7 linked regions of the Kluyveromyces lactis genome follow. The protein of the gene in region 4 purifies or fractionates together with the protein of the main gene of each other region. This does not show direct contact. Links are inferred from orthologs where the notes say so. Each region holds a gene or a part of one and is shown on either strand. Other genes may lie near its edges.

Region 1 (2,701 bases), on a different chromosome or scaffold from region 4:
TGTACAGTAACATACTGGGCTAATTCGAAGAACATTTTGGCGGCAGAAGAGCGGTACTTGAATTCTGCACCAGAGACACAAATTTCTATTGACAAACACATGATGATGTTGGATGAACGAGATTTGTATCCCGAACTTAATTCACGAAACGGATTCGAATTTGAAAAGAACGACTTGAACAGATATCCAAATTTAATACATATTGTAAAGTTTAACGCTCGGGAAGAATCAGTGACTTCCTCAACAGAAAGAGACATGACCAGACTTTATATTTGATTCACTATCGCTAAGATATTCACAGCATACACTCTCATATATCCACCAAACAGATACATTATTTGTATATTCATACATACAACATATAGTACAGAACAATATCAAACGCGCTGAACGGCATGGATTAAACGACTTCTAGCTGCCAAGTGTCTTGGGATATGGTACAACCATAAGCATTAATCTATAATTGAAGAAAAGCTTCCAGTTCTTCGATACAATGCTCCTTAAGTTTCACGAGCATTTTCAGAGCTCAAAATGTGTGCGTATTGGTTTCTTGCAATGGTATCTTGTTTCACAACACGATGAATTTGATCAGTGATTTTTTCTACAATTCCGTATGCTTTATGACAACAATCAATCAACGACAAAGCTTCCATCGGCAAACCACCTGCTTTGGAGATTTGAACAACTTCTCTGTTTTTATTAAGCGTCACAGTAAGCACACCATCTCTCAATAGCTCCTCTTTTAAGGAAGCATCGATGATTGATATTTCTGCATTGTCCTCACCTTTGATATTTTCTTCTGTATCGTCTGGATTGAAGAATGAAAACGTCACACAAATTGGAACATGCAAAACACCTAGTGACACAGGTTCTCTTTCATCAATCGGATGTACCGTCACTCTTTCACCAAGAACAGTAACGTCGGGCTTCTTAAAATGAAGTAACCCAGCCATTACAGCAATGCAACTGGCATCGATTAGTCCACCATCACAATCTAAAAAGTGAACATCAGCTCTAAGAGACCAACATTTGGAGCCAGCTATTATGCATAAACCTTCTACATCTAATGCTCCTGATCGTCTTACAGCTTTCTCAATCATCCTACTGATCAATACCTCTTCTTCTCCAGTATTGTTCCCATTCTCAAACTGAGCACCTGCCATCGGTGTAGTTTCGGTACTTATATGGAAAAGTCCTTCAAACGGTCTATCTTCATAAGGTTGTGCAATTTCACAGCTGATACGACAGTGTACCTTTGTGTTACCCATGGTAACAGTCACATCACCGTATGCTTCACCTATTTCGATCTTCACATCTCTGAATTGGTCATATGAACGTCCATCTAATCTTTGTTTAAGCTTTAACGCTTCCAGGATAAATTTGGATTCAGCATTACTGATCTCTATATCTTTTGCCATCACCTCTTATCGATTTAACTATTTTGATATGCGAATGCAAGCTCTCTTCGGCTATGGTTTTCTCTTTCAGTGCTGCTCATCGCAACTCTTTAACTTTTCAAGTGTTATAGTTCTAAATCTTTCATAAGCTTTGTCTCATTTGATATGATAGAAAGATGAAAAAGGAATAAAAACAAAATTGATGCGAGTTTCTCTAGGAGGAAGACCCTGTAGACAGGTATTAAGTGGAAGAAGATCAATTATTTTAGAGCTCAACAACGGCATGTTATGTGAAGCTTTAGGTCAAAATGATAGAGGTTATCCAATACTGATATTTCTACGAAATTATTATATGCCCTTACTTATGTTTTGTTAGTTTTGAAGAATCCGTCAATTCTTCCTTTACCCTTAGCAACCTTTGGTTTCACAACTTTAGCCTTTTGAATAGGTTGTTTCTTTACGGTTTTTGTGCCATTTGGAATGGCTGTAGACATAGCAGCTTTGATAAGGAGCTCTCTTTCCCTTTCTGTTTGTAATGTTTCGTTCTTGTACTTGTCGTATGAGTCGAAACATTGTTTGATGTTAAGATTTGAAGATTCATGTCTAATTAGATCCTGGTATGCGAGTTGTGGGATCAAGGAAACTAGAAGATTACACGACATTATGCATTTCAGAGATGATGCTATATCTTCAGGTAGCGATTTTGGTATTTTAAGAGAAGTAGGGAAGTTGTTGTTGATTTTGATGACTTTCTTCAGTAGCCATTCTACTATCATTTGAGGTTCGATACGATAATACTTGTCACCAGCTTCTTCCACTGTATGTGATATTTTCCCGAGACAACTTTCCCATAATTTTGGAGGTATCTTCTCCCAATTTTCACTGTGATTATTCGTTAATTTCTCTTGGTAATCAGAACTAGTATAAAAGTTAGTATCCATATCGAGTGCGGGTGGAACGCAAGGTGTAATAAACGCTAGATCCTCACTAGTAACTTTGTTGTTCCTATAATAATACCCACATATATTAAAAGTTAAGTCATATTTTTCGGCATATAGTATCGAACCATCTTCTAGTATGTGTCCATCTTTCCTGTTCTCTTCATTGATCAAAAATGTGGATTTAAATGTTTGCGAATCTGAAGTATAATGATATTTATCATTCACTAAATCTCGCGAGCAATTATAGTCACAGCCTTTACTGAACTTTTTGATTTTAAGCTGGTATACTTTATCGTCGTGTACAAACAGTTTGATAGGTTTCTTTGATTCGTTATTCGATGGATGTGGAAGTTCAAATATTTC
Region 2 (2,500 bases), on a different chromosome or scaffold from region 4:
TGAATCAAAATTAAAAGAAGCATTCAGTTCTGAAGGAGATGAAATTCCATCAGTGGTTCACCAGTCAACTGTCCCGAATCTAGACTTGGTCAAGCTTTTAAGCAGTAATGAGCTTCACTCCCAAAAACTAAAAAAATTAAACAATTACAAGGAACAATTAAAAGAATATGACTCCGGACTCCAGAGCTGGATCCAATATGCTTTGAAGTCTTCTACCACATCTGATAAGGATTTTATCTTCAAAGACTACAAAGTCAATAAACATGTTCAAGATGCTTATGCTCAAGCGGATATTTTGAGTAAAAAGAACAGCGTCGCAAATACGGTGAACCAAAATGTTACACATTTGAAGAAGAAGATGTTTTCTAGCAGCATGAGAGAAAAATCTAAGGGGTTATTCTCATCTATAGGTAAAAAATTGTAGTTAAAGGCAAGATCCGAATTGTAGAATGCATTTATGTTTACATGTTATGTGAAGTTTATAATTAATGGTTTAAAAATCAATTCGAAGAGTTTTCAACTCTTGTTTTTCCATGCTTTCTAAGCTCCTTATCCATTAAATCTCTAATTCTGTGAGTGCCTGCTATTCCGATGGCCATGACACTCTCAAGTCTATCCAAAGGCACTTTATCTTCCACCATTAATAAAGATAATTTTTCTGATTTACCAATTGTGCCTATGGTAACACTGCTCATTGCATTTTCCTCAAGCGAGTTAAGGTCTAGTAGTGGTGTAGTATCATAAAGTCCCACTGAAACCCCGCTTACAAAATCATACATTGCGATACCAGCATCTATCAGAGCCAATGTTATTCCATTAAGCATTGCCCCAAGAATCCCACCATCTAACTGTAGAGCATGAACTTGAACGTCAATTGACGTACGAGGATAGAGATGAAGCATCAAGTTCTTTTCAAATGTACGCACTAACGAAGCTTGCCATTCTAAGGTTCTTCTTTCATTCTTATGGCTTGATTTGCTTCTTTCCATCTTGGCAAACTTCGTTAAGTTAATAGTAACGGATAAAGTAGCTTGTTTCGTATTGACTTGTGACCTCGAGGATGGTTCTTGAGGACCAGCAACTAATGTGATAATCTTATTGTTACCTTGTTCCAAGTACGAGGATCCATCTGCAGCATTCGGGTGAGTGTTGATGGAACAGTTGAAACTTCTTAGCTCATTCCAACGACGACCATCGACACGCAATCCCTCTGGAGAATATATTTCAAAACGTGACATTATGTTACTCTGTTAGTTAAAGTGGGTTTTCCTACACGCTAGCTGGAGGGGCTAATTTCAATCTGACAGCCTCTGCTTTGAATGTACTTCTTCTAGTAGATGTCGATGAGCTCATATTTCACTTGTAAGATTCAAAACTTGAATACTTTTTTTTTTTCAAATTCTATTTCAATAATCAGTATGAAGAAAACAGCAGCGAGTGAATCTGACAACGGATATGAAATTGGATGAACGGAATGGAACATCAAAATACTCGTCAGGACTTCGATCGTGGCTTTGAAAATGTCACAGTACGCTACAGTATATGCTAAGTTAAAATTATATATTCTTCTTATGTTGATTGTCTTGGAATGACGTTCTGGATTTGATGTCAGTGATAAAGACACCGAGTAGATAGACGTTGATGAGGAAAAACACTATATTGCCAAAGAATAAGTTGGGGAAAAATACATTTTGGCCTTTGAATTCAAGTAGATATGCTTGTGAAAGCCATACGGCTTGAGACAATATCCATAAAAATATACAGACCACACCTTTTCTCCATGTAATGGTTGTATTTGCGAAATAAAATGGGGATAATACCAAATACCAAATGAAATATTGAGAAGTGCATACTTTATTGAAAGTAACGAATGCGTATGTTTGTACGAATAGGACATTCATTAAATTTTCGAACGTCTGTGATTTCCACAATAGATAAGGTAGTACTGCACATAGTGTCAATTGAGGAACGAATGCCAGCTTAGATAGTTCGATAGATTGGGAAAGATGAATACCAGCAGATTCTAAGAGTAAGACCAGGTTCCAAATCGAAAAATTGTGTCTGTGGTCTGTTCTCGTGAGATGGTACATGTACGAGTGTTCGATAAATTCGCTCCCGTAAAGCTTGTACATGAAATACGTCGGCGCAGTTATGCCGATTAGCGTCGATATCCCTATCATGAACAATCGCCAAATGCAGTTTCTATTGTGACTCGACAACAAGAGATATATTCCGATCGGTAGCGCATAGATTATCGGATAGATCTTGAAATGAATCGATAACCCATAGAAAAGTCCTGAAATAAGTAACCTGTCTCTTTTCAAAAAGTATAAAGCACATATGATCAAAAAACATAAAACCGATTCAGCGTTTCCTCGAGTACTTATCGTTATAACAATCGGGTTCAATAACCAAATAGAAGCTAGAATTAGCTGTTTTGTCAATTGACATGAACCTTGTAATAGTTTTATGATCATCACACCTGTAATGAGATCAAATA
Region 3 (3,000 bases), on a different chromosome or scaffold from region 4:
AACGTGATAAACAAGCAAGAATTATGACATTGGAAAGATTTGGAAGTCAAGTGTACTCTTCTTCTTCATCTAGTAACACTGCCCGTTATAGAGCTACTTCGGCCCATAGATCGCAAGCTGATTATGCTCAAAATTATAACGAAGGAAGTGGACGTAAGAAACTAATGACTATCAGTGACATTCAGCATGGGGCAGATTTCCAATTATTATCAGCTGAGGAACAGCAGTTATGCATAACGTTGAAAATTTTGCCAAAGCCTTACATTGCCATCAAAGAGGTACTATTCAGAGAATTAATACGGACTGCAGGTCAACTCTCGAAGAAACAGTGTCGTGATTTATTGAATATCGAGGCAACGAAGGCCAACAGAATCTATGATTTCTTCGTTTCTCAGAATTGGGTTTAATTAGAGTTATAAAACTGTGGAAATATTGGCTCCACTGCTTACCTTACTACTTAATGTCAAATATGTACATAAAAATGTGTATACAGTGTCTCATTACAGTTTCTTGATAATAGCATTCAAAATAGCATACTTCGAATCAGATTTATCCATATTGGATAATAGATGTTGGGTCAAATAACCAGAATATAATGTAGTAAGTTGTTTGGCATTCGTCTCATCTAATTTGCTGATGTATGCAGAATACTTTTTGAAGGACAATTGGAGACTGTCGATGTTTAATTCGCCGGCAGGCATGAATTTGATATTTAATGTAACATCATGCAATAATAATTCCACATATTTTTCTGGCATACTTTTCTCAAGGGAAATATTATAATGTTCGTCCTTTAGCCATTGCAATACGTGATTTATCAGATATTCTCTTTTTAAATCTTGAAATTCCGAAAATAAGTTGATATACTCGAGGCATCTATCAAACAGGTAGGACATAACGTTTCTGCTGAGCTCTTCATCGACTTGCGAATTGGTAACGGCGTAGTATCCTTGATGTTTCTTGACAAAAGATGTGCCCAGATTCTTCATTGCGATATCGAATATAACCAATGCGACATCACCACGTAGTGCTGGATTAGTTTCTTCTGATCCAAGCATATTCATATCGGCTTCTGGTAACTCGTTTAGTTTATCTTTCATCTTGTCACCAGTACTTGGAAGTTGAATTCCGTCTTTGTCAAAGTATGCTTCGTCATCTGCAGTTTCTTCCAGACCTGTTACATTACTGGAGTTTCTTCCTTCCTCTTGCTGTTGTAGCATATCTAGCTCTTGTTCCCTTTCGTTGATTAAATTCATCACTTTTCTTCTATTTAACAATTTTGTCACGAAATTCAGTTCGAATTTAACGTACTCGTACCAGAGTTTAGAAGCATCTGGATTAAATCTAAGACCAGTTTGAAAAACATTTCTACAGCTCTTGAAGTTTGCGTGCAATTCGTATTCATATTTAGCACATGATATCCAAACGTCAACGTTTGTTGGATGTAATTTGAGCAATTGATTGTAGACGTTTTGAATCTTTTTATAAGAGGCATTTGTACCCTTTGATTTTAAATGATTCAAATATAAAGACCAAAATTTCAATTTTTTTGGGAACTTATTGCAGCCTCTTTGGAAAATATAGAGAATCCTCTGCTGTATGGTAAAATCCGAAATACTATTTGATTTGTTCGATTGCAAGATACGTTTAACACGTTTCATTCTTAATGCATCGACATTCTTCTCGTATTCAATATATCTGATGTAATCACTTATACTTGAACCTCTCGAACTCAATCTGTGTTCAAAATCAGTCCTTTTCTTCATAATTTTGTTTACTTCATTCTTAGTGAATAACTTCTTCTGCACTAAGTCATCAACTTCTGGAATACATTGTTCCAAGTAATATCTTGTTCTGGATGACATCGCCTTACTCTGGGTAGTTTTATGTTAAGTATTGATTAAAGTGTAATCACGGAGACTCGTATCGCTCGCTTACTGACAAAGGAAACGACTACTGGCTTTGTTCATGCTAAATAATACTGAGATGAGATGAGATGAGCCTTGAAGCTTTTGAATTTTTTTGGTTATATTGATTTCTTTTTCATATAATCAGTCAGAATAAAGTCCTCCATTTAAATAACCATCGATGAATAACAAAAGGACAAGTACAATTGTTGTTCTGCTAGCGTAAATCGGATTTTTTTTTACTGCAAATTGAATCCGCTTACATATGACATTCGGGACTACCATAAACTGCGACCCTTAATGTCGTTGTATGCTTTCATACAAGATGACAGTTTTGTTGATCGTTAATTCGGGCAATTTAACATTACCCGGATATTTTACATGGTAGACAAATTTTCGATAATCAAAAATCTGAATATGAAATAGGTTGAATACTAAAGATGATTGATTTGTTTGCGGTGATCAGACATAGGAGTGTCCAATTGATCCCCTTTGTATCGAGACATTAAGTCAGTGTATCAGAATCAGCCATGTTTTCCAAGAGACAAGGTTTGAATTTGTGCAAAAACGTATGTCAAACCCATTTTCATCACTGTTGCAATGGTAAAGCGCGGGCTTTCCTCAAACTGCATGATGATATCCTTCCGCATTAAGCAGTTATATCACCTACTTTTAGAAGATCGATTTACTAACTATTGCTCGTAATTTTTTGTTACTCTTTTCCCTATTCTCTACAGGTCCGTTACGTTTCCAACAAACCCCTTCCTAATGCTAGTCTACCGCCAAAATATACCTTAGCAACGGTTCGTTCATTCCCATCATTAGAACCATTGACATTTGCACCAGTGCCAACCTCAGTATTTGATGCTCCATTGAGAAGAGACTTACTATGGCGTGCTGTTGTTTACGAAAATGACAGTAAACGTGTTGGGTCTTCTAACCCCCCAGGCAGAAGTGATGTTGGTTATTCGAGAAGAAAGATTTTACCACAAAAGGGATCTGGTATGGCCAGAGCTGGTGACGCTAATTCACCAATAAGGCATAACGGTGGTAGAGCTCTAGCAAGAACTGCACCAAATGATTATACCACAGC
Region 4 (4,248 bases):
CAAATTCGTAGAATGCACCATCATGGACCAAACTTTCTTCACCAGGTAACCATGGGATGGCATCTGGGTGTCTTTTACCGTAACAGTCTCTCAAAGCCTTGGTCGTTTCAAGTTTCTTCAACGAACCGAAAAGATTGGCACGAGGAGAACTCATAGCGTGATGTCTGGGCCTTCTGTCCTCCACGGTAATAGAAAGCTTGCCGTTATCCTGATAGTTTCTCAAAGTGGAGGAAACGTTCATCAAGACCAAGATTGGGTTACCTGTGGAATTCACACCCTCACATAAATCAGAAGATACATAGTATTCTGGGAAAGTCACCGGAGTCTTTCCATCCTTCAAAGTAGAAACATGAACCAAGTCACCATACTTAACAACACCTCTAGCAACCTCAGCAGCGTATTCACGAGTTAGGTTGAACTCTTTCTCCTTATGAGAGGACTCTCTCAATTTCTTATCGCACCCTTCGCGTGCAGAAACGGAATCTAAAGCTAAAGCCAAAGATAACAACAAAGTACTACACTTCATGACTGAATTATTAATGGCTCAATAACTGATGTCGTTATTTGGATAAACAATCTCTCCGCAAGTTGTAACCCCTAAGCTCATCGCTATTCAATCTTGATAGAAGGTTCCTTAAACCTGTCGTTGCCTATATATAAAATAAACGGTACAAAATTTATAATGCGGTAAATTACATAATGCAAACTAAGGTAAGGAAGGTGCTCAGCCTCAAACTTCCGAAAAAGTAGTTTGTTTACCAGAAGAAAACATTTTTGCAGTTCACCCAAGCCTTTGCATTGAGATTGGTTCGGACGAACCATCCGCCTAGATCTCGGATCTAAGTTTAATCGCAGAGACATCGCCGCATAACCACATCGCTCCAGCCAGGTGTGTTTTTCTTTTGTTCTTATATGAGCCGGTCCTTTGCTGAAAAGCCAGTCTGAACGCAGGCCCAACGCACACAACTCACACACACCCTCAAATGGAAACGTTGAGGCATTGCTAAGTAGATAGCTGCTATGAGCCTTGTTTATGCCAAACATGCTTATACGGTTGGCTGAGATCCGAAATTCCTCAGAAACTAGCCATTACTTGTAGTGTGACCTTGCACGGCACATGATGTATTGAAACAACTCTTAAGTCTGTATGTACTTCAATAGATCCGAAAGCAGGTGGAAACTGACCAGTAGCTTGCATATTGAGCTACGGGGAGACTTGACCCAAGTTTATGGTATCACTCCATTTTCATACACGTGACCATAAATGAATTTCTTTTCACCGCAGCATGAACAAATCGAAAATTTTAAAGAGTGAAAGAAAAAAAAAGTAGCGATGAGATGAGATGAGATGAGGTTCAAATCGTTGGCTTTGCAATCATCTCCTGGCGATAGATTTTTGATCAGGTTCGACTTGCTAGTACTCCAGGCAACGGCAGAGACGATATAGAATGTCATCTTTACGTGATCAATTAGCGCAGGTAGCGCAGAATAACGCTACTGTTGCTCTTGATAGAAAGAGAAGACAAAAGTTACATTCTGCGTCTTTGGTTTACAATCCGAAGACTGCTGCTACTCAGGACTATGAGTATATATACGATACAGCGTTGGAATCGTTTCATACTTTGGTGAGTTTGGACTTGAGGTTCAAAGTTTTCACTAATTCCTTATTCAGTGCATCTTCCGTGACCATTGATAGAAACGTTCAAACAAAGGATCAGATTAGAGATTTGGATAACGCAGTTAATGCGTATTTGATGTTGATTTCGCCGAAATGGCATCTAACTCCAGCTTTGCATGCTACGGAATGGTTGATTCGTAGGTTCCAAATTCATATCCATAACGCCGAAATGCTTCTTCTATCTACTTTGAACCAATACCAAACGCCGGTGTTCAAAAGGATCCTCAATATCGTTAAGCTACCACCTTTGTTCAACCCATTTACCAATTTTGTCAGAAACGATAAGAATCCAACCGATTTGACGTTGATCAAATTGTTTAACGATATGGACTTCTTGAAGCTTTATTCAAATTATCTGTCCAAGATTATCAAGCAAAAAGTTACCTATACGAATCAACTGCTATTTACCACATGTTGTTTCATTAACGTGATCGCTTTCAATGCGAACGATGAAGATAAGTTAAATAAATTGGTCCCATTGATTTTGGAAATTTCCGCAAAACTTTTGGCATCGGATTCAAGCGATTGTCAAATGGCTGCTCATACTATGCTCGCGGTACTTGCCACCGCATTGCCTTTGAACAAAAGCATTATCATTGCGGCTACGGAAACTATCTTGGCCAATTTAAAGGAAGACGATGCTAGAAAAAAAGCTCTCGTCACAATCTCAAAACTTTTCCAAACCTTGAAAGGTGTAGGTAATGTGGATCAATTACCGGTCAAGATCTATAAACTCGTTGATAATTCTTTCCCATTCGAATATCTACTACAGTTCCTGAGTAATGAAAACAAATATTCCTCAGATAAATTTTTCACTGCATACATTAGGTCTGTCATCAGATATGATCATGATAAATTGAGTCAAATTGTCAAAATCTTAAGGAAGATTAAGTTGGAAAAATACGAAGTTAGATTTATCATCACTGATTTGATACATTTATCTGAAGTTCTAGAGGACAAGTCACAATTAATCGATGTTTTTGAATACTTCATTTCCATTAACGAGGGACTAGTTTTGAAATGTCTTCAAGCACTAAACCTGACCGGAGAAGTTTTCGAAATAAGATTGACAACTTCATTATTTTCCGTCAAGAACAGTGCGGAACAATCTGGTGAAGATATCATTAAAGTTCTAGATGATGCTAAAGCATCAACCGCGAATGGTTCAGCTGTTCCATTTAAAGATTTCATGACCAAAAACTCAGAGTTCATCTCCACTAAAGCGGAGTCTATGCTTCTTGTTAAAGATGAAAAGTTTGTCAAGCTGTTGTCATTATTTGTGGAAGCTGTAAGTAAAGGATATCAACCAGGTCTATTTTTATCCTCCTTCTTCACTACTTTAGAGAGCAGGATAACGTTTGTGCTCAGAATCATCGTATCCCCTGGTTCGCCTGTTGCTCTCAGATTGATTTCACTAACACAGTTAAGCAAATTCATCAATGGTATAGATGAGCAAACGGATCTTTTCTCTTTGGTACCTATTCTAGTGACAGCATTGATGGATATTTCTAGATCTGTTCGTTCCAACACGAAAAAGGTTCTACAACAGATAGCCAAGAGACCTTTCACAGCAAAGTATTTCCTATCTAACGTACTCTACGGAGAGAATTTAAAGGTGCCAATGTTAAGTCCGAAAGATAGCAAGTTTTGGTTGACCAACTTTTTAAGCGATTACATCGTTGAAAGTACAGATATTTCATCCCTCGTCATTCCATCCAAAAATGACATGGTATATATGCTGTTTTGGTGCAACCAGGCACTGCATCTTCCTCTCGCCTATTCGAAGACTATAATGTTAAAGCTCTTGACCGCTGTGCCACAATATGCTTTTACATATTCAAAGGTGTTCGAACAATTTATGGCCACATACATCACGGAAAGAAGTTCCTGGGAAACGAAGTGCATCAAAAATAAAACCAATTTCAAAGACTTCGAAACTGCGGTATGTGCCATTGTTGCACCAAAAGAAAAAAACAGTTTCGCGATAGATTTTTTGATTAACTGTTTGGAATCAGAATATGAACAACTTTCGAATATCATGGCAGACAGAATTTTATCTTTGTATCCAACATTGAAATTCCCAAACCAATTAAAAATTGTTCAGAGTATAATAGACTCCTCAGTTGACAAAGAACTATCATATGATGGTCTAGAAACCCTTCAAAGTCTTCCATTAACTGCAGATATTTTTGTCTCTGTGTTGAAAAGTAATACCATAAACAGCGAAGATCAAACAGATTTGACTAAACGTAGAAGAAGAAGATCGTCTACGGTTAACAAGTCCGCCCTACAGAAACAAGATATTTCTCAAATTGCCGAAGCCCACCTAAAGAAAATGACTATTATTCTGGAGACTTTGGATAAATTGAAGGTAAAGAGTAACGAAAATCTATTGAATGCCTTATTCAACCTTTTGTCCGACTTGGAAACTTTAGACCATGATGGTGGTTTGCCTGTACTTTACGCTCAGGAAACTCTGTCCTCTTGTCTTTTGAACACTATTTCTTCTCTAAAATCTAACAACGGAAGTATGAAATTACCCTCTATTAGAGCAGATATACTAGTCGCTG
Region 5 (2,513 bases), on a different chromosome or scaffold from region 4:
ACGTTCTCCAACCGTTCAAGGTCGAGATCTGAATCTAGATATTTAGAGAGAACGTCAGCTTCTACTGTACAGAGCTAAATCATATGAAGAGCTTATTGAATAAGCGGTTTTCGCCTAAACGTCGAAATAAACCAATCACTTACGCACCAGCTTCAGCAGCGAAACCTAAACCCAAACCCAAACCTAAACCCAAACAACTGGACCCACCAATGCAATCCGGTGAGAGCAGTAGCCAGAAAAGCAGCACTCCCATACCAATCAAGTCTATATTAAGACCTGTTGATGGCACGCACGAACATGAGAATAAATCTGTCCGCATTGTGGAATCTTCACCACATCCGGAGTCTGTTCCAATCAGCACACCAACTAGGATAATAGTAGGACCATTACCTGATGGAAATGTTAGTGACTCTTTGGTATATAATGCCAGCGATTTAGAAAAGGGTCATATCGGCGTCGCGGAGGAATCGTCACCGCTACTAGAATCACAGTTGCCTGATTTGACAACATACCAAACAATTTCCCCAGAGTCCAACCCCACTGCACAGATACATTGCTGGTCAACACCCTCGTTGCCAATTCCAATACCACCACCATCAAGCGATCAGCCATGTTCAGGCGACCCCGTGCAGTCACCCTCAATTCCCCCATCCAGGGAATCACCATTTACCAGTCCGTTAAGTCGGTTCTTGCAAATGCTATACGCAAGATATCCTGTCATCATAACTTATATCCTAATCACCATCTGTGTCATTGGGATAATATATTCTTTAGTAACAGGAACTGGTAGATCATATCTCTTGGTTATTATAAAGGCATGTATATGCTGGATAATGGGTACAGACGTGGCAAGAATGCTTTTTGGTACCCAGTTCTGTGATATTGAGTTTAAAGTGTCATGATGTTTCAGTACTGCAAGCTACACATTAAATACCATTAGCATAGCAATAAAGTTGATATAAATTGATATAATCTAACCAACAAATAGCACCAGAACCAGCCAATACACAGCACAGTCCGTTAACGGGTGATGAGCATTCTACTCGTAGTCCAGTGTCAGGAACAAAATCTTCAGCACGTGACCTCTATTTACGTATCATTTCTTTTCGAAGTGAAAAATTTGGACAAAGCGATGAGATGAGATGAGATGAACCACTGGAACTAGTCCATGAAGCAGGTCGTGTTACCGTTCTGTCAGTGTTTCTGTTCAATTGTGCATTGGATTAGACAAGTGGCAAGAGTTTACTGAGAAATATAACAATGGGTTTGAAGAAAGTTCTAGGTTCTGGTGCTGCACTGGTAGCGAAGAGACACTTGAAGTTCGATGATGATGCGGATGATTCATTCCATACAGCTGATGAGGGCAACTCTACCCTAGATGCTCTCAAACCAACAAAAGCAGAAGCGAATGGTGAAAGTGAAAGTGAGAGTGAGAGTGATAGCGATGCGCCAGAAGAAGAAGGCTTGAGTAGTGGGAAAGATGCTATAGAGAAAAGGATTCAGGAAAGAGAAGAGGCTGCAAGGTTACAAGAAGAGGCAGCTAGAGAGAAGAGACGAAAGAACGAGAAAGTGTTCAAGCAACAGCAGCTAGAGAAGAAGAAGAAGCTGCTCGAGTCTGAGGAGGAGAAACAGAGAGAAAAGATGTTAGAGTTTGAACGACAATTAGTAGCGCAGCAGGGTTCGGATAATGATGAGCCGGAAGAGTTACCACAAGAGTTCTTTGATGAGCTAGAAAGTGGATCTGCATCTTCCTTCGCAAAGGCTACGCCGAAACATATTACTTTCTCGGCAGAAGCGCAAAGAGAAGAAGAACAGGCCCTAAAAGAAGAATTACGGAAACAAAAGAAGAGATCACTAAGGGAATTGAGAAAGACCCAAATACAGAAAGGACCTGTCACTGTGAACTTGCTATCGTCGATGAAGGTATCTAAGACACTGGCTCCAAAAAAGGAAACCAGTGTCATGAAATCAAAGGATAAATGGTTGAAAAGAAGAAGTCTCAAACGTAAATAGAAGAGGATTTGTGCCCACATGTACCTATCTATTCAAATATACAGGTCTTTATACATGTGATTTGTCTCGTGTATAATGTATTATCTAAAAGAGGAGTTTCCTGATTGGCTTTAGCTATCATGAGGAGCGAAGAAAGAGATCATTAACGGGATAAAGATACCCAAGAGTAACAATCTGACATCTGGAAGTGATTCTTGTTCTATTTTCTCTTCAGTGGTAACACCTTCGCCCATCTCTAAAACAGAACCCGACACTGGGATCGGGCCATCATTCTGTAACTGTTGTTCCTGGTCCTTACTTGGTGAGATCAACGCAAGCAATGAAGCATACAATAAACTACTACCGCTCAGAACCAATAGCCCATCGCTCATTTTCTCGATTAGGTCCTTGCTGACGAATCTCATCAGGATCACGAATAGCAACCCGAACGGTGTGGATATACTGAATGCAATAAGATTAGAGATTACTTGTAGTTTGGGTAATCTCTGTTTCGAAATCAT
Region 6 (3,332 bases), about 540 kb from region 4:
ATTCATTTTATGCTTTGTTTATGCAAACGATTGCATATATTGGGTCTTTTTTTTTTTTGCATGACCACATCTTCTTCTCTCTCTCTCTCCCTCTCTCTAATATTCATTGCCATAGTTTCAAATTGATAGACTCATTAGTACTATAATACTCATCATATTATATTGGGCAAGCAAGGCTGGTTCTTCTTGTGTTCACTTCCTCTTTTTTTTTTTTTTCTTTTTCTCTCACTTTTATTATGGAACTATACTTCTAATCTAATACTGTAAAAGAATATGAAAGGATTCAATTCGTTACATGCAACCCATGATTCAAATTATAAAGAAGATATCTGCTAATCTCGGTAAAAGATAGTTCCTTGCTAAAAACGATTTTTCATTGAAAGGAAAACTTGATCAACTACCTTGATTTATAACTTCAAGAAAAAAGAGACATGTTTCGAGCTTATTAACGTTACAAATTTATAAATATCTAATTCAAAACTGATAGAAATTCATATATTTTATTCATCTTCGGAATCGTTGGATCTATTCGAATTAGATTTCTTGTCGTCCTCGTATTGAAAGACAGTACCGACGATTTGTTTCTTCCTTTCAGGTAAAAATGGCATGTCTTTCCTTGTCTTTCTTTCGTTTCTTTCCCTTCTCTTCAAAGAATCAATTTCAATCTTCTTAATCTCTTGAGCTTTCTTAACAACCTTAGGGACGTGTCTGTGCCTGCTAATTCTTCTGACCTCTGGCATGTGCTTGAATCTTTCTTTAAGTTTTTCATCGTATTCCAACTTATTCTTTTCACGTGTACTCTTCGCATTAGATCTCTCCCATGCCTTGGCTCTCCATAGTCTAACGTTACCATCATCTGAACCACTTACTATATACTTACTGTCCATGGTATATTTCACTTGGAAAATATGCTGCATTCTCTTTGTATGATATATTTCTCTCGAATGACCATGTTTAACTTGGTAAATTCTGATTGTCTTATCATAGGAGCCTGTTACAACTTCGTCACCAGTAGGGGAAAAATCAACATCCATAACAGCACTAACATGATCTTTAAACACATGCAAAGCTTTGGACATATTTCTCATATCATAGTAATAAGCATTATGATCTTCATTGGCAATTACGAAGTTGAAGGCTTCCACTGGGTTCCAACAGATAGAGTTTGTCCTCATGGTTTGAACAATTTTTTGTGTTGGAGAGTTTGTTCTTAGGTCATAAAGAACCACAGAGTTATCACTACCCGTACTTGCTAAAATGTCGACCTCATTTTGATTAAATCTAACATGATTGATATTGTCCGCACCCCATGAAAGATTTGATATTGGCTTTGATCTGTTTGTATCCCAAAGTTCGATTTGGGCACCACCAGTAACAAAATTCGATTTTTGTCTATGATGATCCAAAGATTGGAAAGCATGTTCACCATGGAATGTTTTGATGATACCTTCATCTGTATTCAATCTTGTATCATCTTTAACGTTGGAAAAGTCGTCAGAATTCACTGACCATAGCTTCACCGTCTTATCGTCACCACAAGAAAGCATGAAGTTTTCTCTTTGTGGAGATAAATATGAAGGAGTAACACACAGACCAGTAACCATACCGTAATGTGCCTTGAATGAACTTAACTCTTCTCTAGTTGACATGTTCCAGTACTTGATAACACCGTCACCACTAGCCGTAGCAAGTTTGTTTAATACATTGTAATTCTTTGCAATGGTGTACACACCATCCCTGTGACCGTATCCAAGCTGACCGACAAATGGCTTAGCAAACATTCTTTCAAGCTTGGTGGCATTCAAAGCCTTTGTATATTCTCTAGCTCTTTCGAATGGATGCAGAGCCGGATTTAAATTACGAGGCATCTGAGACTCTTGTGTGCTCTTCACCGGCACATAATCATCGGCACTTCTGCTGATAGTTTTGATCTTCATTTCGCTATTCTTTCAATATCCCCAGTTGGCACTAAATATGGTAGACCTTGTGCTAGTTAATCAGCAACTATGATATGGAAACAGTTCCAGTGGTTTCCTCTTCCCATTCCCTTTCACTGCTTATGATGCGATGAGATGAGATGAGATTTGCATTTCGATAACTTGAAAAATTGTTAAAAAGAAATTATGCCGAATATACAAGGACGATATAAGATGACAGTTAAAGACCTTATTAAAATAACAACAACATGATTTAGCCATTGCTACAGTCACTGAGTACTTGAGTTTCCAAAGCTGTATTGGGATTATCTTTGTGTACCCTTTTTTTACCGTTTAAGTAGTGTCATTAGTATATTATATATCTTACAAAAAATGTAATGATTGCAGAACTGTATATCTATATGTTGGGTTGCACAAAATGGAAACAAAGTGTCAAAATTCCATTCTAGTCTGTGATTCAAAGTTATCTGTATTAATTAACTGGCAAATGTCGGTTTCGGAATTCTCAAATGTGCAAGCATTGGGTTACCAATTCTTTCGATAACGTCACTGGCCCATAGAACATCCAAATGTGAATACTCATCAATATACCAGATTTTGTAGACAGAGTGTGGTTCGTGGTTGATAAAGTGATTAATCAATCTTTCTCCGTCTACAAGTCTATCTTGCCTGGGTGTGAAGAGTAAAATCTTTGGCCAATTTTCTGGCAAAGGTTTATGTTGATTTCTGTGTAAATGTTCATCCATACTTACTGTTTCATTTTGTATTGGGAACCAGGTCTTGATGTCGGGGAACATGTCTTCGGCGAAAGTCTTGAAGCTTGACTTTAAAGGGTTAAGACTTAACCACCATTGCATCAATTTCACAGATATATGCACTGGAGAAAATAGGAAATGTCTATCACGCAAGGGTCTGTCCCATAAAATATCGTTCCAGTTGAACAAGTAGTTGAACATGACGTAAGACAAAAATGAGAATATCTTGTGTCCGGCCAACAAATTTCTCATCTCCATCATCATTGGTACAAATGATTTGTTTCCGAATACCCAGCGATTATCTATGTGTTTCGCCATAAACTTAACGAAATATTTTTCATCGAGTAGTGGACCGGGATAAACAGCAGGTGCTAATGCAACTAAATTATCTAATTTATCACTCAATCTGAACTCTGTATTTTTGTAGATCTCTTCACCATTTACAAGTCCCATAAAAGCTTGTGTGGTACCCTGGGAATGGGCCACTAAGGTAAGCTTCTCAAACTTATTTTGCTTTTTTTGGAGGACACTTTCAATAAGGGCTTCAAGGTCATATCTGGTCATAGAATCTAGATCCCAATCCCATTCACCGTTGGGGGTCAGCTTTTCTCTATCCCATTTAGAGTTGAATCCACAACGA
Region 7 (2,397 bases), about 290 kb from region 4:
TGCTAACAGTCACGATGTTGTTATGATCTCGAAACCTTTCAAGTTATTATTCCCTCAATTTAAAGAAACTGTAAAAGACGTGGACCAATTAATTGCTACCACGAAGCAGTTCTTGAAACAATGTGGTGTTCTAATCAATGATAATAAATTTGATTTGAATAGGAACAAATATTTCACTGGGAAAACATTACAAAACTGGTATAAGTCTACTATGGACACCGATGTTTCCGTTGTTTACATGAAACGTACCAATTTTGATATCGATATTATCACCAAAAAAGTATGGCAAATCAAGCAAGTGTTAGATAACTTGGAATAAATCGCATTCTATTGTACTTAACTATATCTAAAGTATCAACCCATGTATAAATAGGATATGTTTCTAACGAATCCTCACCCTTAATGGTAAAGCCTTGTATATTTTTATTTTGCTAATACAGAAGAAGCGTTCGTGTCACATTAATTATGAATCACTATGAAATTACGTTAACCATTTCATTTCATTTAAGATATTGAACCAAAGTCTGCTTATTTACCAAATATTTTGCCTTGCACTCTTCTATTAATTTTGATATGTCAGTGACGTTATCGTCATCGCTCCAAATACCGACGATTTCATGTCCATTCCTAATAAACGCAACCACAGAGTTATCTTTTGACCCGGCACTCACTAAATCAATGATTTCAATACCTGCGTCTACAAGAGCCATGGTAATAGAATTAATGCATGTGGGTAGAATATTAACGATATTTGCCTCCTCTGTTGGATTACTATTAGAATGCTGGATCAAATCTATAAAGATATCAATACCAGATTTTGGATACTTCTCAACGTTTATCACCGCATTAAAGACATTTGTTAGGAAAGTACAAATTTCTTTAATTTCTCCGGTATTCAAATGTTCTAACGTAACTTCTTTGAACTGAATCGATACTGATGCCTTAGATTGGAAGGAGCCTCGCAATGGCCTGGGTCCGAAGACAGAACTCATTACGAGAACTTGATCCGAAGTACCATCCATATATTCTAGGTATGAGGAACCATTTGCATTCGTTACTAAATCCGTACTAATGAACACAGATTCCTTACCCGATTTATTACCATTACCATCGTCCCTGTTCTCTACGGTTCTTACAGGAGTAATTGCAGCAAACTGCAATGGCTTCGCTTCTGCTGGCCCTAATATTCTTCTTCTATCTTGCACACTCATTAATAGACCTCTCTTCTGTGGGTATTAGTTTAATATAACGATGGGAAACAAACTCAAGTAAATATATGCTGATATGGCACTAGCCAACGTCAACTTGGAAGCATCTCATCGCATGTATATTCACTTGCAAAACGGTCACTAACAGAATACCACGATTGAAATAGTCGAGATGGAAAAATTCTAACGTCATCACGTGATAATATATATGTGTTTCCTATTTGTTTCCCGTTTGTTTCCGTACCGTACTTGTTTCCAAATTATCGGCAGGCAGCATTGGAACTTTTTTACAAATCAACCGACGATCAGTACGTGTGAAATGATTTCTAAACAGAAGAAGTGGCTGTCGCCCGGTATTGTCAAACCAGTAAATAGTAATAGATCCGTATTTCTGAAAAAGAGTCGTGTACTAGCTTTCGGCTCATCACCTCATACGTCAGAAGGAAACGGAGAGAACTGCTTTGTGAAGTTATATAACCACGTGACTAACTGGTGTTTCTCATATGTTTCTCATATGTTTCCAAACAGCACTTGTTTCCGGTTCATGCCAGGTGACCGTTTTCGCAAACCGGTGGAGGGGCAGACGGAGACCCCCCCCTCACAACCTGGGATTTGGCAACTAAAACACCCCACTCTAACCCGCCTTGCCAGTCGTACATACAAAAGCCAGTATCGTTTCTGGGTGTATCATCAAGACAAAGTCAGAAGCTATTCACTTGGACCAGATCGAAAGCCGAACCCTCGCTAATGCTCTCACCAGAAGCTCTTTCATGCATAGGTTTCAAGAATCAAGGCAAGTCATTCGTTCATTGGTTGAACCACCGAAGAAAAGGATGACCAAAGTACATTTTTGAATTAAACCGACTCTGTTAGTGTAACGTTTCTTCCAGGCATCTGGCAGAAATTATAAAGATTTTTGATATTACACCCCACCAATAGCCCAGGACTCTGATTAAAATCAAACTACTCTGCGAATATTGCTCAAAGTCTAACCATATAACTTGGAATGTCCATTGATTCAAACAAGTTGCAGTAGGACAGAATATCATGAATGACAGTTAACCTACAATCTTTTTTCTTGAACAAAAACTAACAATCTAAGAGAGATTGAATCGTAAAAACAAGAACATCAAGGCAGAAAGCCGTTGAATAAGGCCAACATACATCTTTACATAGGGAACAACGAGTA

Evidence for each region.
Region 1: the proteins of UTP10 (region 4) and RRP45 purify together in Saccharomyces cerevisiae (affinity purification with mass spectrometry; 5 studies listed by BioGRID). This does not show direct contact. The link is inferred for Kluyveromyces lactis from reciprocal best matches to the Saccharomyces cerevisiae genes UTP10 and RRP45.
Region 2: the proteins of UTP10 (region 4) and SKI6 purify together in Saccharomyces cerevisiae (affinity purification with mass spectrometry; 4 studies listed by BioGRID). This does not show direct contact. The link is inferred for Kluyveromyces lactis from reciprocal best matches to the Saccharomyces cerevisiae genes UTP10 and SKI6.
Region 3: the proteins of UTP10 (region 4) and UTP6 purify together in Saccharomyces cerevisiae (affinity purification with mass spectrometry; 5 studies listed by BioGRID). This does not show direct contact. The link is inferred for Kluyveromyces lactis from reciprocal best matches to the Saccharomyces cerevisiae genes UTP10 and UTP6.
Region 5: the proteins of UTP10 (region 4) and BUD21 purify together in Saccharomyces cerevisiae (affinity purification with mass spectrometry; 4 studies listed by BioGRID). This does not show direct contact. The link is inferred for Kluyveromyces lactis from reciprocal best matches to the Saccharomyces cerevisiae genes UTP10 and BUD21.
Region 6: the proteins of UTP10 (region 4) and SOF1 purify together in Saccharomyces cerevisiae (affinity purification with mass spectrometry, with the first as the bait; 5 studies listed by BioGRID). This does not show direct contact. The link is inferred for Kluyveromyces lactis from reciprocal best matches to the Saccharomyces cerevisiae genes UTP10 and SOF1.
Region 7: the proteins of UTP10 (region 4) and MTR3 purify together in Saccharomyces cerevisiae (affinity purification with mass spectrometry; 3 studies listed by BioGRID). This does not show direct contact. The link is inferred for Kluyveromyces lactis from reciprocal best matches to the Saccharomyces cerevisiae genes UTP10 and MTR3.

The regions. Positions count from the first base shown.
Region 1 is NC_006039.1:952,774-955,474, reverse strand, and holds RRP45 (exosome non-catalytic core subunit RRP45), read right to left. Parts: upstream 1,419-2,701; coding exon 501-1,418; downstream 1-500. Other genes in the region: KLLA0_C11121g (uncharacterized protein), read left to right, coding at 1-276; RNH202 (Rnh202p), read right to left, coding at 1,760-2,701. UniProt on the Saccharomyces cerevisiae protein: Non-catalytic component of the RNA exosome complex which has 3'->5' exoribonuclease activity and participates in a multitude of cellular RNA processing and degradation events.
Region 2 is NC_006040.1:813,273-815,772, forward strand, and holds SKI6 (exosome non-catalytic core subunit SKI6), read right to left. Parts: upstream 1,239-2,500; coding exon 501-1,238; downstream 1-500. Other genes in the region: FYV8 (Fyv8p), read left to right, coding at 1-424; GPI14 (glycosylphosphatidylinositol-alpha 1,4 mannosyltransferase I), read right to left, coding at 1,557-2,500. UniProt on the Saccharomyces cerevisiae protein: Non-catalytic component of the RNA exosome complex which has 3'->5' exoribonuclease activity and participates in a multitude of cellular RNA processing and degradation events.
Region 3 is NC_006038.1:119,427-122,426, forward strand, and holds UTP6 (snoRNA-binding rRNA-processing protein UTP6), read right to left. Parts: upstream 1,866-3,000; coding exon 501-1,865; downstream 1-500. Other genes in the region: chromatin-binding transcription regulator ADA2, read left to right, coding at 1-407; YML6 (mitochondrial 54S ribosomal protein uL4m), read left to right, coding at 2,438-2,476, 2,645-3,000.
Region 4 is NC_006042.1:1,973,755-1,978,002, forward strand, and holds the start of UTP10 (snoRNA-binding rRNA-processing protein UTP10), read left to right. Parts: upstream 1-1,448; coding exon 1,449-4,248. Other genes in the region: KLLA0_F21164g (uncharacterized protein), read right to left, coding at 1-526. UniProt on the Saccharomyces cerevisiae protein: Involved in nucleolar processing of pre-18S ribosomal RNA. Required for optimal pre-ribosomal RNA transcription by RNA polymerase I together with a subset of U3 proteins required for transcription (t-UTPs). Involved in ribosome biosynthesis.
Region 5 is NC_006037.1:682,612-685,124, reverse strand, and holds BUD21 (Bud21p), read left to right. Parts: upstream 1-1,260; coding exon 1,261-2,013; downstream 2,014-2,513. Other genes in the region: KLLA0_A07645g (uncharacterized protein), read left to right, coding at 84-902; Mn(2+) transporter ATX2, read right to left, coding at 2,124-2,513. UniProt on the Saccharomyces cerevisiae protein: Functions as part of the small subunit (SSU) processome, first precursor of the small eukaryotic ribosomal subunit that coordinates the first two steps of ribosome biogenesis in transcription of the primary transcript pre-RNA and pre-18S processing.
Region 6 is NC_006042.1:1,438,215-1,441,546, reverse strand, and holds SOF1 (rRNA-processing protein SOF1), read right to left. Parts: upstream 1,938-3,332; coding exon 501-1,937; downstream 1-500. Other genes in the region: KLLA0_F15576g (uncharacterized protein), read right to left, coding at 2,414-3,332. UniProt on the Saccharomyces cerevisiae protein: Required for ribosomal RNA processing.
Region 7 is NC_006042.1:1,688,687-1,691,083, forward strand, and holds MTR3 (exosome non-catalytic core subunit MTR3), read right to left. Parts: upstream 1,212-2,397; coding exon 501-1,211; downstream 1-500. Other genes in the region: CHO2 (phosphatidylethanolamine N-methyltransferase), read left to right, coding at 1-319.